Linked DNA regions of Saccharomyces cerevisiae S288C. The gene in region 1 interacts genetically with each later gene. Each region holds a gene or a part of one and is shown on either strand. Other genes may lie near its edges.

Region 1 (3,036 bases):
TTATGTCTTTATCGGTCAACGAAGCTCGAAAATTTTGGGGCAGTGTTATTACGAGAAATTTCCAAGATTTCATTGAAATATCTAACAAGATAAGTTCATCAAGACCGCGACATATACCGCTCATCATTCAAACCTCAAGGACATCAGGAACTTTTCGAATATCACAACCAACTATCAGTATGACTGGAGTCAATCCTACGTTGAAGGATATTGAAGGCGATATTCTGGACGTAAAGGAAGGAATCAATGGTAATGATGTCATGGTTATTTGTCAAGGAATTGAAATTCCTTGGCATATGCTCCTGTATGATTTGTATTCTAAATTGCGAAGTTTTGATGGCTTTTTGTACATAACTCTTGTTCCTATAAAAGGCGGCGATAAAGCTTCCTCTGAGCTCTAAGAGCTGTTATATACGCATTTAAAAGTGTCATTCAAATATCGCAGAAAATAACTTGGACGTTGAAAATAGGGCCACATTTATACGGCTGCAAGAAAACTTTTACTCTCTTTCTACCAAGTTTGTTACTGCAATTAAATAATCTTTATCATGGGATAGCGAAACTAAAAACTCATGAGTGGAAAAGAGAGAATCGTAGTTTTTCGAGAGCTGTTGATACTTTGGATACTTTTTTCCAAACATCTTATCAAACTCTAACTGAGGTACACCTGTATCGGTTTGTGTTTTATATAGCATTCCAGCGTACAGTACTTGGGCAGGAGGTAGATCATGCTTTGAAACACAGCAACACAACGCTTTCAATGAGCATTCCTTCAAAGCCCAAACTCCCGCTATATATTCATGCAATCGTGGAGTTAAGCAGTTTTCTTCGATGAGAAGATTACTGAAATGAAATCTTTCCTTTTCATGCATGAACTTCCGTGTTATTTTATTCAAGGTAGAACGGCCACATGGGTCGAATGGGGAATATTTCTCTAGTATATGTGCAAATCTTGGCAAGTATACAATGTCAACTCCCACTCCTGCTATCTTACGTCCAATATTCCTCGATGCAAAACTCATCACTGGAGGCATTCAAAGCTAGCACTTATGAAATAAACGTTCATTAGAAAGCAATACTCCTGATAAGAAAATAGTGCTTAGCTTCTATTCAGCCTTCTTAAAGAACTAGCTTTTCTATCAAAAGTCAGATCTCTTATGACCGCTTGAACCTGTGGAATGTATATAAGCAGTTTTGATGTTAAGATTTTTTTTTCAATAGAATTTCTTCCTTCGGAAATAATCCCGATTAAGAAATTATTCTTGACGCAATATTCAGCTATATGTTGATCGGGCTTAACCGCATAAGTTTCGTTACCCTTTTTTACCCCAATTTTTAATTTCGGCGGTTATTTTCAGCCCTTTTAGAGTCAAGATATATAAGAATGCTTCTCTAAGAAGTGAGACTAACAATGAAACCCGTTTCAGACAATCTGGAAGTCTTAGAACGCATAACACAGAAATGTCAACAACATTAGCAGCACCAGCGAAACTAAAGAGTTTGCTCCTGAATCTACATACTCACTGTATTGGGCTACACGTTAACGATGTCACACCTAAAGTATATTTCAAGTTATTGATACGGCATCTTCTACAGATATCTAGATCAAACGCTGCTCATCCTAAGCTAAGAAGAAGGGCCCAGATTTTATTGGTATCGCTTTTCCTATCTGGTGTCACACTTTTTTCTGGTGTAACATATAGTACTTTCAAAATTATTCTAAAATGTTATAAATTTTACAAGTTTCCATGGAAGAGAAGGAATAGGAGACCTTTAATAAGAAGAACAAGATCTCAAATGCAATTAGACAGTGGTGCAAGAATAATGTATATTCCTGAAGTGGAATTAGTCGACCGCCAGAGTCCCGATGACAACAAATTTATGAATGCTACAGATAAAAAAAAAAGGAAAAGGATATTTATTCCACCAAAGGATAACGATGTATATGAACACGATAAGTTTCTTTTTAAAAATGTAGAACTGGAAAGAGCCAAGAATTCGCAGTTATTCTACTCAAAATTTTTAAACCAAATGAACGTCTTGTCTAAAATTTTAATTCCAACAGTTTTTGACAAAAACTTTCTTCTTTTAACTGCTCAAATTTTTTTCCTGGTGATGAGAACTTGGCTCTCTTTGTTTGTAGCCAAGCTGGATGGACAAATAGTCAAAAATATAATTGCTGGTAGAGGAAGAAGCTTTCTGTGGGACTTAGGGTGTTGGTTTTTAATTGCTGTCCCTGCTTCTTATACTAATAGTGCTATTAAGCTACTTCAAAGGAAGTTGAGTTTAAACTTTAGGGTAAATTTGACACGTTACATCCATGACATGTATTTGGATAAAAGACTAACATTTTACAAATTAATTTTTGATGCAAAGGCGTCCAATTCGGTAATCAAGAATATCGACAACTCCATTACTAATGATGTTGCAAAATTTTGCGATGCGACATGCTCCGTTTTTGCAAACATTGCAAAGCCAGTTATTGATTTAATATTCTTTTCGGTTTATTTACGTGATAATTTGGGAACTGTGGGAGTAGCAGGTATATTTGTTAATTATTTCATTACTGGGTTTATTTTGAGGAAATACACGCCACCATTAGGTAAATTGGCAGGCGAGAGATCTGCTTCAGACGGCGATTACTACAATTATCATCTAAACATGATAAATAATAGCGAAGAGATCGCATTTTACCAAGGAACAGCAGTGGAAAGGACGAAAGTTAAAGAGTTGTATGATGTGCTGATGGAAAAAATGCTGCTGGTTGATAAAGTCAAGTTTGGTTACAATATGTTGGAAGACTATGTTTTAAAATATACATGGTCCGGTTTGGGTTATGTTTTTGCCTCAATCCCTATCGTTATGTCTACCTTAGCGACAGGCATCAATTCAGAGGAAAAAAATATGAAGGAATTTATAGTCAACAAAAGGTTGATGTTGTCGCTTGCAGATGCAGGCTCGAGATTGATGCATTCGATAAAGGACATCTCACAATTGACCGGCTACACTAATAGGATATTTACTCTGCTTTCCGTC
Region 2 (3,402 bases), on another chromosome or scaffold:
AATATGTCTGGTATCACCAACACGACCTTGTACTGATTAAATTTGGTAGGCTTAACGTTTAAAGTCTCTGAGTTAAGTGCATGCTCCAAAAGCTTGGTAACGTCTGAGATTAATTCTGCCAACGATTTATAATATGGTGACTTGACATTAAAAGAGCCACCTCTGAAAGGCTTTCTAATAACAAATTTTTCGTCCACGCACCTCAATGCATCTGAACCATAGTATAATTTTGAGTCATCAAATATCCATTCTATAGGAGATGGATCATTTTTCTCTGAAATAATCTCAGGTTTGGAATTTTCATTGAAAGATACTACCTGTTCGTGAGCATTACCTGGTACCTTTCTTTTATAATACCTCATACGTTCTCTAAAATTCTTTTCCATCTCCGACTTTATGTTGTTAAACTCTTCTGACTGTTCTCTTTGAAGGCAAACGTTTTCAACATGTTCACTATTTTCAAGATCCAGCCATTTTTTAGGTACCGCTACACAATTTGGAACTACGACAGGATGGTCATCTTTGGGAAATCCTATCTTTATAGAATTTGATCCAGGATGTATCACGATAGTTGCTGTTGGATCATTTAGATCTATCTCGTCATTAAGTGGTGCTGCACTCGCTTCTGAGTGGGGCAAACTCTTTAAATCTATAACATCTGGTGTGTTGGTACTAGATATTTGGCTAGTGTTGTTATTTCTCAAAAATTTTCTATCTCTAAGTGCAAATATTTGATCGTCTTTTTTCAGATAATCTGATGAGTAGTTTTTTTGGTTGATTAACATTAAAGGTTGGAACAGGCCAGTGGCAGGTAAAGTAGTTGTCTCCACTTTCTCAATGCCAATTTTTTTCAACGTCTTGGCAAATTCTTCAGCAGCTTTAATACGTCCTAGTCTCCTCTTCTCCAAAAGATGTAGCGGGACTTTCTTCCCGGGAGGTGCTTTTGCGGGATCTAGCTTCGGATATTTCTTATAACGTTTACTAGTCTGCACAGCAGGTGGTGCCCTCTTATCTCTAGAGCTCCCTAATTCATTTTCATTTTCGTTGGCATTATCATTATCATTTTCGTCCTCATTGTCAACATCATTGTCGTCTTCGTCTTCATCTTCGTCTTCCCCTTCTTCATCTTCATCTTCTTCGTCTGCAACGTCTCTTGGGTCAACAGAAAGACCTGTTACACTTCTGGGTGTCTCAGATCCAACTACGTTATCGACACTATCGTCTGACTCATTCTCCGCATTTTCTTGATCCGCCTGGCTGCTTAAAGGTACGCTATTTTCTTCTTCCAGTTCATCCTCATCGTCATCATCCTCTAACGGAATATCAATGGGTTCCTCATAAATAATACTGGATTCTGCTTCTTCTTGCGACATGTTAGGTGCGATTGTATCCCTGTATTTATGTACTATTGACTAGTAATTTACCTGAAAGTGTTTGCTACTTCGTGGGCGTTCATCATCTCCATTTATTCATATTGCCATTCTCAAATAAGTCATCTTGCACGGCCCAACCAGCGGCTGGATAACGGATCTACCCCAACCTCGGACCCAAAGTTGCTGCTATAAAAACAGAAACAAAAAAGGCGTTTCTCGAGACTGATATCCAGATGGTAATAGAGCCCTTAAGTGCTTTGCAATTGTCAATTAAGTATCCTTGTTCGAGAGTTGTTCACAGCACACTGCGTATATATAGGCTTACCACAGTTGGATTTAATCAAGCGATATAAAAGCTGGAAGGAGACAAGTTTCCCCTAATTGTTGTTCTGTTTGTTACTTACCACTCTATATACGTTCGATTTCATAGAAAATTTCTTTTGCAGACCATTTATTCTTCAGTTTGATAATGTTAAGATCTACCGTTTCAAAAGCTTCTCTCAAAATTTGTCGTCACTTTCACAGAGAATCTATTCCTTACGATAAGACGATCAAAAATTTGCTGCTTCCCAAGGACACCAAGGTGATCTTTCAGGGGTTCACAGGTAAACAAGGTACTTTTCATGCCAGCATCTCTCAAGAATATGGTACAAATGTTGTGGGTGGTACGAACCCAAAAAAGGCGGGTCAAACACATTTAGGCCAACCTGTCTTTGCCTCTGTGAAGGACGCGATTAAGGAGACTGGAGCCACTGCCAGTGCCATCTTTGTTCCTCCACCGATCGCAGCTGCTGCCATTAAAGAATCTATTGAAGCTGAAATTCCGTTAGCTGTATGTATCACTGAAGGTATTCCTCAACATGACATGTTATACATTGCAGAAATGTTGCAGACACAAGATAAAACAAGATTAGTTGGGCCCAACTGCCCTGGTATCATTAACCCAGCAACAAAGGTAAGAATTGGTATCCAGCCCCCAAAAATTTTTCAAGCTGGTAAAATCGGTATTATTTCCAGATCGGGAACTTTGACATACGAAGCTGTTCAGCAAACTACAAAAACTGACCTTGGTCAATCACTGGTTATTGGTATGGGTGGTGATGCTTTTCCCGGTACTGATTTTATTGACGCCTTGAAATTATTTCTAGAAGATGAAACTACAGAAGGTATTATTATGTTAGGTGAAATAGGTGGTAAGGCCGAAATCGAAGCTGCTCAATTTCTCAAAGAATACAACTTTAGCAGGAGTAAGCCGATGCCGGTGGCATCTTTCATCGCAGGAACTGTTGCTGGTCAAATGAAAGGTGTTAGAATGGGTCACTCCGGTGCAATTGTAGAAGGATCTGGAACTGATGCAGAATCCAAAAAACAAGCTTTGAGAGATGTTGGTGTTGCCGTCGTTGAATCTCCAGGTTACTTAGGTCAAGCTTTACTGGATCAATTTGCCAAATTTAAATGATTATATTAGGAAGAGAATGAACTGCTTTCAAAAGAGGAAGACTTCTATGTCTCGATTATTGCTTAGACAAGTATGGAGCTGACATCCGTTTTCTTTTCAGAGCTTTTACTCAACATTCTATGTTAATTTTTCCCTTTGTATATATTCATTTATCCTTATAAATTCTACTAAAAATCTTTTAATAGTGTTTGTATTTAATGTTCTTCTTAACAAGGGTATACATAAAGGTTGATTAAAGCTTAATAATTGAAATGGAAAAAAAAATAACAAAACGTCTGAATTTCCTAGTCTGTTTTGCAAAAACAGATGCGCAAGCCGGGAATCGAACCCGGGCCTCATGCTTGGGAAGCATAAATTCTAACCACTGAACCACTTGCGCGTTTCAATCAATTTGGGAAGACTCAGCACGTTATATACTATTAATGAAAAATTTCCTTCTTAGTAATGACACTGATAAATAGGTAAGTGTTGGAATTAAAATCAACTATCGTCTAACAACTAGTAGTCACACTACCAATATATTATCATACACGGTGTTAGACGATGACATAAGATATGAGAAACTGTCAT
Region 3 (3,961 bases), 560 kb from region 1:
ATTTTTATGTGGTGTTTGGTCATCATCTGGTTTGTGTTTAGTTGGTGGGTCTATTGCCGATATGTTCCCAAGTGAAACAAGAGGTAAGGCTATTGCTTTCTTCGCTTTTGCTCCTTACGTTGGTCCCGTTGTTGGTCCACTAGTTAACGGTTTTATTTCCGTTTCTACCGGACGTATGGACCTGATTTTCTGGGTCAATATGGCCTTTGCAGGTGTTATGTGGATCATATCTTCTGCCATCCCAGAAACGTACGCTCCAGTTATCTTGAAGAGAAAGGCTGCTAGATTAAGAAAGGAAACTGGTAATCCCAAGATTATGACTGAGCAGGAAGCGCAAGGTGTCAGTATGGGTGAAATGATGAGGGCTTGTCTGTTGAGACCTTTGTACTTCTCTGTCACTGAACCTGTTCTAGTTGCTACTTGTTTCTACGTGTGTTTGATTTACTCTCTACTATATGCGTTCTTCTTTGCCTTCCCTGTCATTTTCGGTGAACTATATGGCTACAAAGACAACCTTGTGGGTTTGATGTTTATTCCTATTGTTATCGGTGCTCTTTGGGCGTTAGCCACAACTTTCTACTGTGAAAACAAGTATTTACAAATTGTCAAACAGCGTAAACCTACTCCTGAAGATCGTTTGCTAGGTGCTAAGATCGGTGCTCCATTTGCTGCAATTGCTTTATGGATCCTGGGTGCTACCGCTTATAAACATATTATTTGGGTTGGTCCAGCTTCAGCTGGTTTAGCTTTTGGTTTCGGTATGGTGTTGATTTATTATTCATTGAATAATTACATTATTGATTGCTACGTCCAATACGCATCCAGTGCTCTGGCTACAAAGGTTTTCTTAAGATCCGCCGGTGGTGCTGCCTTCCCCTTGTTTACCATTCAAATGTACCACAAATTGAATCTGCACTGGGGTTCTTGGTTGTTGGCTTTCATCTCCACTGCTATGATTGCTTTACCTTTTGCATTTTCTTACTGGGGCAAAGGTTTGAGACATAAGTTATCCAAGAAGGATTATTCCATAGATAGTATTGAATAAGAGTAACGATTTTACGAATCGAGCATAATAATGAAAAATTATAGTAGTAGTAATGATAAAAACATAAGCAAACATAAGCAAACATAAGCAAACATATCAAACATGCATTCAAACCATTATCCGACAGTAATGTACATATATTTTTACGTATTTTACATTCTTTCTCTATTGTTCTTTTATCTATTGCTATCCTAAACAAATATATTGATTGACCTTCAAACCGTGAGTAACTTTATTAATTTATATGTATAGAAAAAAAAAAAAATTGAATTAGAAATTTGAACTTCTCAAGTTCATTCTTCTTGTACCTATGCGATGACTTTATTTTCGGTTTTTACATTCCTCCTCATTTGACCGAGGAATACGAATTTGATTGACCCCCACTCACTAAACAAAGGGTCGGAATTCTTTTCCACTTTAAAACTTAGTAATAACAACAAAGTCAACAAAATAGTCCTATTGCAAAATTGCAGGTTCCTTAATTAATATTCTTAAATGATCATCAATAGGCGTATTTTGAAATCTTTTGAAGAGATAAGTCATTCATTAGAGGAATCACTACGAGAGGTTGCATTTGATTCACAGCAACAATTGATTCAAGACGTACGTGAGGAAAATGAAGAACTAAGTAGGTTACAAGATCAATTACAATTGATCAGGTCAATTGTTGAAAAAATCTGCATTTCAATCAAAACTGACAATATTGACTCTTATTGTTCGGTGCCTTTTGATTTGCTATACAATATTTGCAAGGACATTGCTGATCCCTCATCCTTTGAAGACGGAGATTTGCAATATCTTGTTAGCCAAGCCATATTTGAGTACATTATATTATTGTGCTACTATTCTGTGACCAACGAATGCGTCCAAGGTTTACCTGCCGTGTATGAAGCTGAACAGTACTACAAAACAGTAAGTGATTCAATCCTAAAGTCTTTTCTTTACTGTTTACAAAATTCAGTATCGACAATACGTCTTTTATCTCAAACTGTTTTGAAGGATGTAAATAAGAAAAAACTGTCGCATCAAAAATGGTCCCTAAAGGCCTTGTCAGTTGATTTACTAGAAAAAATACGCCCAAGAATAAACAAATTTATGGTGATTCGGAACTTCAGGTTTGTCGGGCTACCGAAGAAACCAATTGAAATAGCTTCATTGGTTTCTGATATACCTCGCGGTATAGTGCACGAAAGACTTGATATGGTCACTCAATCATCAAAGTATTATACTATTAAACTGGGGCAGTTGATCACTGAATTCGATCAACAACCAGAAGAAAATGGTATGTTCACCGAAGTACATTTACCGAACTACGAAAGACGTCTAAAATCTTTACAGGACTTCTTTGGATTAGCCATGTCTGATTCGAATTTACTAGATGTGATCCGATGCTCAGCGAAATTTCATAAAGATCATCCTTTAAGAAGGTTCACTAAACCAAGTATATTGACTAGATACTGGCCTTCAATTTTGTTGTGTCTTTTATATGGACCATCTTCTGTTATGTCGTTGTGGAATTCCCGGTATTTTATTCAAGATTTCATTAAGACCAATGTCGTTGACTTTGCGAAAGGGCTGATCTTGAACTGGTTATGGGCACCCCTGAAACAGGTTTGGTCTACTGTTAAGCATGACGAGGGAAGCGCCATTTCAGTGACATCACAGGAGACATTAAACTCTGACATGGATTCTCTTACCAGAATGATTGTTAGTTTTGTTGTGGATAATAGTGATTCGACGTCTAACAGCCCCATAGACCCTATTCTATTGAGTACTAAAGTCGAACATGGTGATTTGACCGAATTTATGGAAATATATGAAACACAACTACATCATCCGATAAAGAATATAGCTACGGGTGGATTAGTCAGGTCTTTATTGATTCAACTGCAAAAAACAAAAGTCGATGGATCTATGGCATTGAATGGCATTGATAAAATGCTGAAATCGCAACAGTTGGTGTTTGGAGTTGTAGCATTATCTCCGGCTTTAGTGATACTATATTCTTCTATAGTGGCGTTAAAAAGATTTGTCAAACTAGGCAATGTCTGGTCTAATGAAAAACGGTATAGGGAGCAAATAAGTATAAGTTTGAATAATGTGGAAAGAGTTTTGAATTATTCTAAACAAGGTGCGGACGCCGATGAGGAACACTTAAACCAGGGTCTACTAGTGATTGAGGTTTCTAACTTATACAAATTGGGAAGTTTTTTGATCCCGCGTTCAAGAAAGAAAGAATGGTTTAGGGACGTTGAGGAACTGGTGGATACCAATCTTGACTCCGGAGCTCATATAAATGTCGTCAACAGGATATACCACGTATATGGCAGGTTTTTAATCCATTAGCGTATAGCCTGCTGGGGAAGAAGAAAGGGAAGATATTGAATATATTCTTAATGTATTTTTTGTACAGACGTAAATATAAAGAAATCAACGCAAAATCGACGCCTTTTTACTTTTTATACTTTTTTACTAAAAAGACAGATTTTCTCGCTCATATCATAAGTGATGTACTATTATCCTCCATATACGATATATCTGTTTAAAAAAAAAGAAAAAAAAAGGTTACTTAAATTCATACTCATTAGAAAAAAATTCTAGGGATAACAACACCAAAGGTAGAACTTCGTTCAATTTATGAAAGGTTTGGCCATAATGGAGAACAAATGAATGAAGTATATAAAGAGAAAAACGACTTAAAAGATATTATTAACAATATCTGACCCAATACTAGCGCCTGCCCCAAAAATGGCGGCATTACCCAATTTGCTACCAAAGCTCTTCAAGTGGCTATGTGAGCTCTGATGTTGTTGTTGTTGTTGTTGTTGTTGGGGAGGAGGAGCTTGTTGCGGCTGTTGTTGAGGCTGCTGATAATAATTTGTGGAAGGTGGAGGAAATGGCTGCTGTTGATAAGAT

Evidence for each region. Genes that interact genetically often act in the same process or in processes that back each other up.
Region 2: mutations in PPT2 (region 1) and LSC1 together harm fitness more than expected from each alone (negative genetic interaction), as found in Saccharomyces cerevisiae (2 studies listed by BioGRID).
Region 3: mutations in PPT2 (region 1) and NCA2 together harm fitness more than expected from each alone (negative genetic interaction), as found in Saccharomyces cerevisiae (2 studies listed by BioGRID).

What each region holds. Positions count from the first base shown.
Region 1 is NC_001148.4:271,794-274,829, forward strand, and holds PPT2 (holo-[acyl-carrier-protein] synthase), read right to left. Parts: upstream 1,023-3,036; coding exon 501-1,022; downstream 1-500. Other genes in the region: ATG5 (Atg5p), read left to right, coding at 1-401; ATP-binding cassette long-chain fatty acid transporter PXA1, read left to right, coding at 1,462-3,036. UniProt on the Saccharomyces cerevisiae protein: Transfers the 4'-phosphopantetheine moiety from coenzyme A to a Ser of mitochondrial acyl-carrier-protein.
Region 2 is NC_001147.6:591,215-594,616, forward strand, and holds LSC1 (succinate--CoA ligase (GDP-forming) subunit alpha), read left to right. Parts: upstream 1-1,842; coding exon 1,843-2,832; downstream 2,833-3,402. Other genes in the region: ARP8 (Arp8p), read right to left, coding at 1-1,373. UniProt on the Saccharomyces cerevisiae protein: Succinyl-CoA synthetase functions in the citric acid cycle (TCA), coupling the hydrolysis of succinyl-CoA to the synthesis of ATP and thus represents the only step of substrate-level phosphorylation in the TCA.
Region 3 is NC_001148.4:834,993-838,953, reverse strand, and holds NCA2 (Nca2p), read left to right. Parts: upstream 1-1,540; coding exon 1,541-3,391; downstream 3,392-3,961. Other genes in the region: TPO3 (spermine transporter), read left to right, coding at 1-1,045; PIN3 (Pin3p), read right to left, coding at 3,742-3,961. UniProt on the Saccharomyces cerevisiae protein: Involved in the mitochondrial expression of subunits 6 and 8 of the F0-F1 ATP synthase.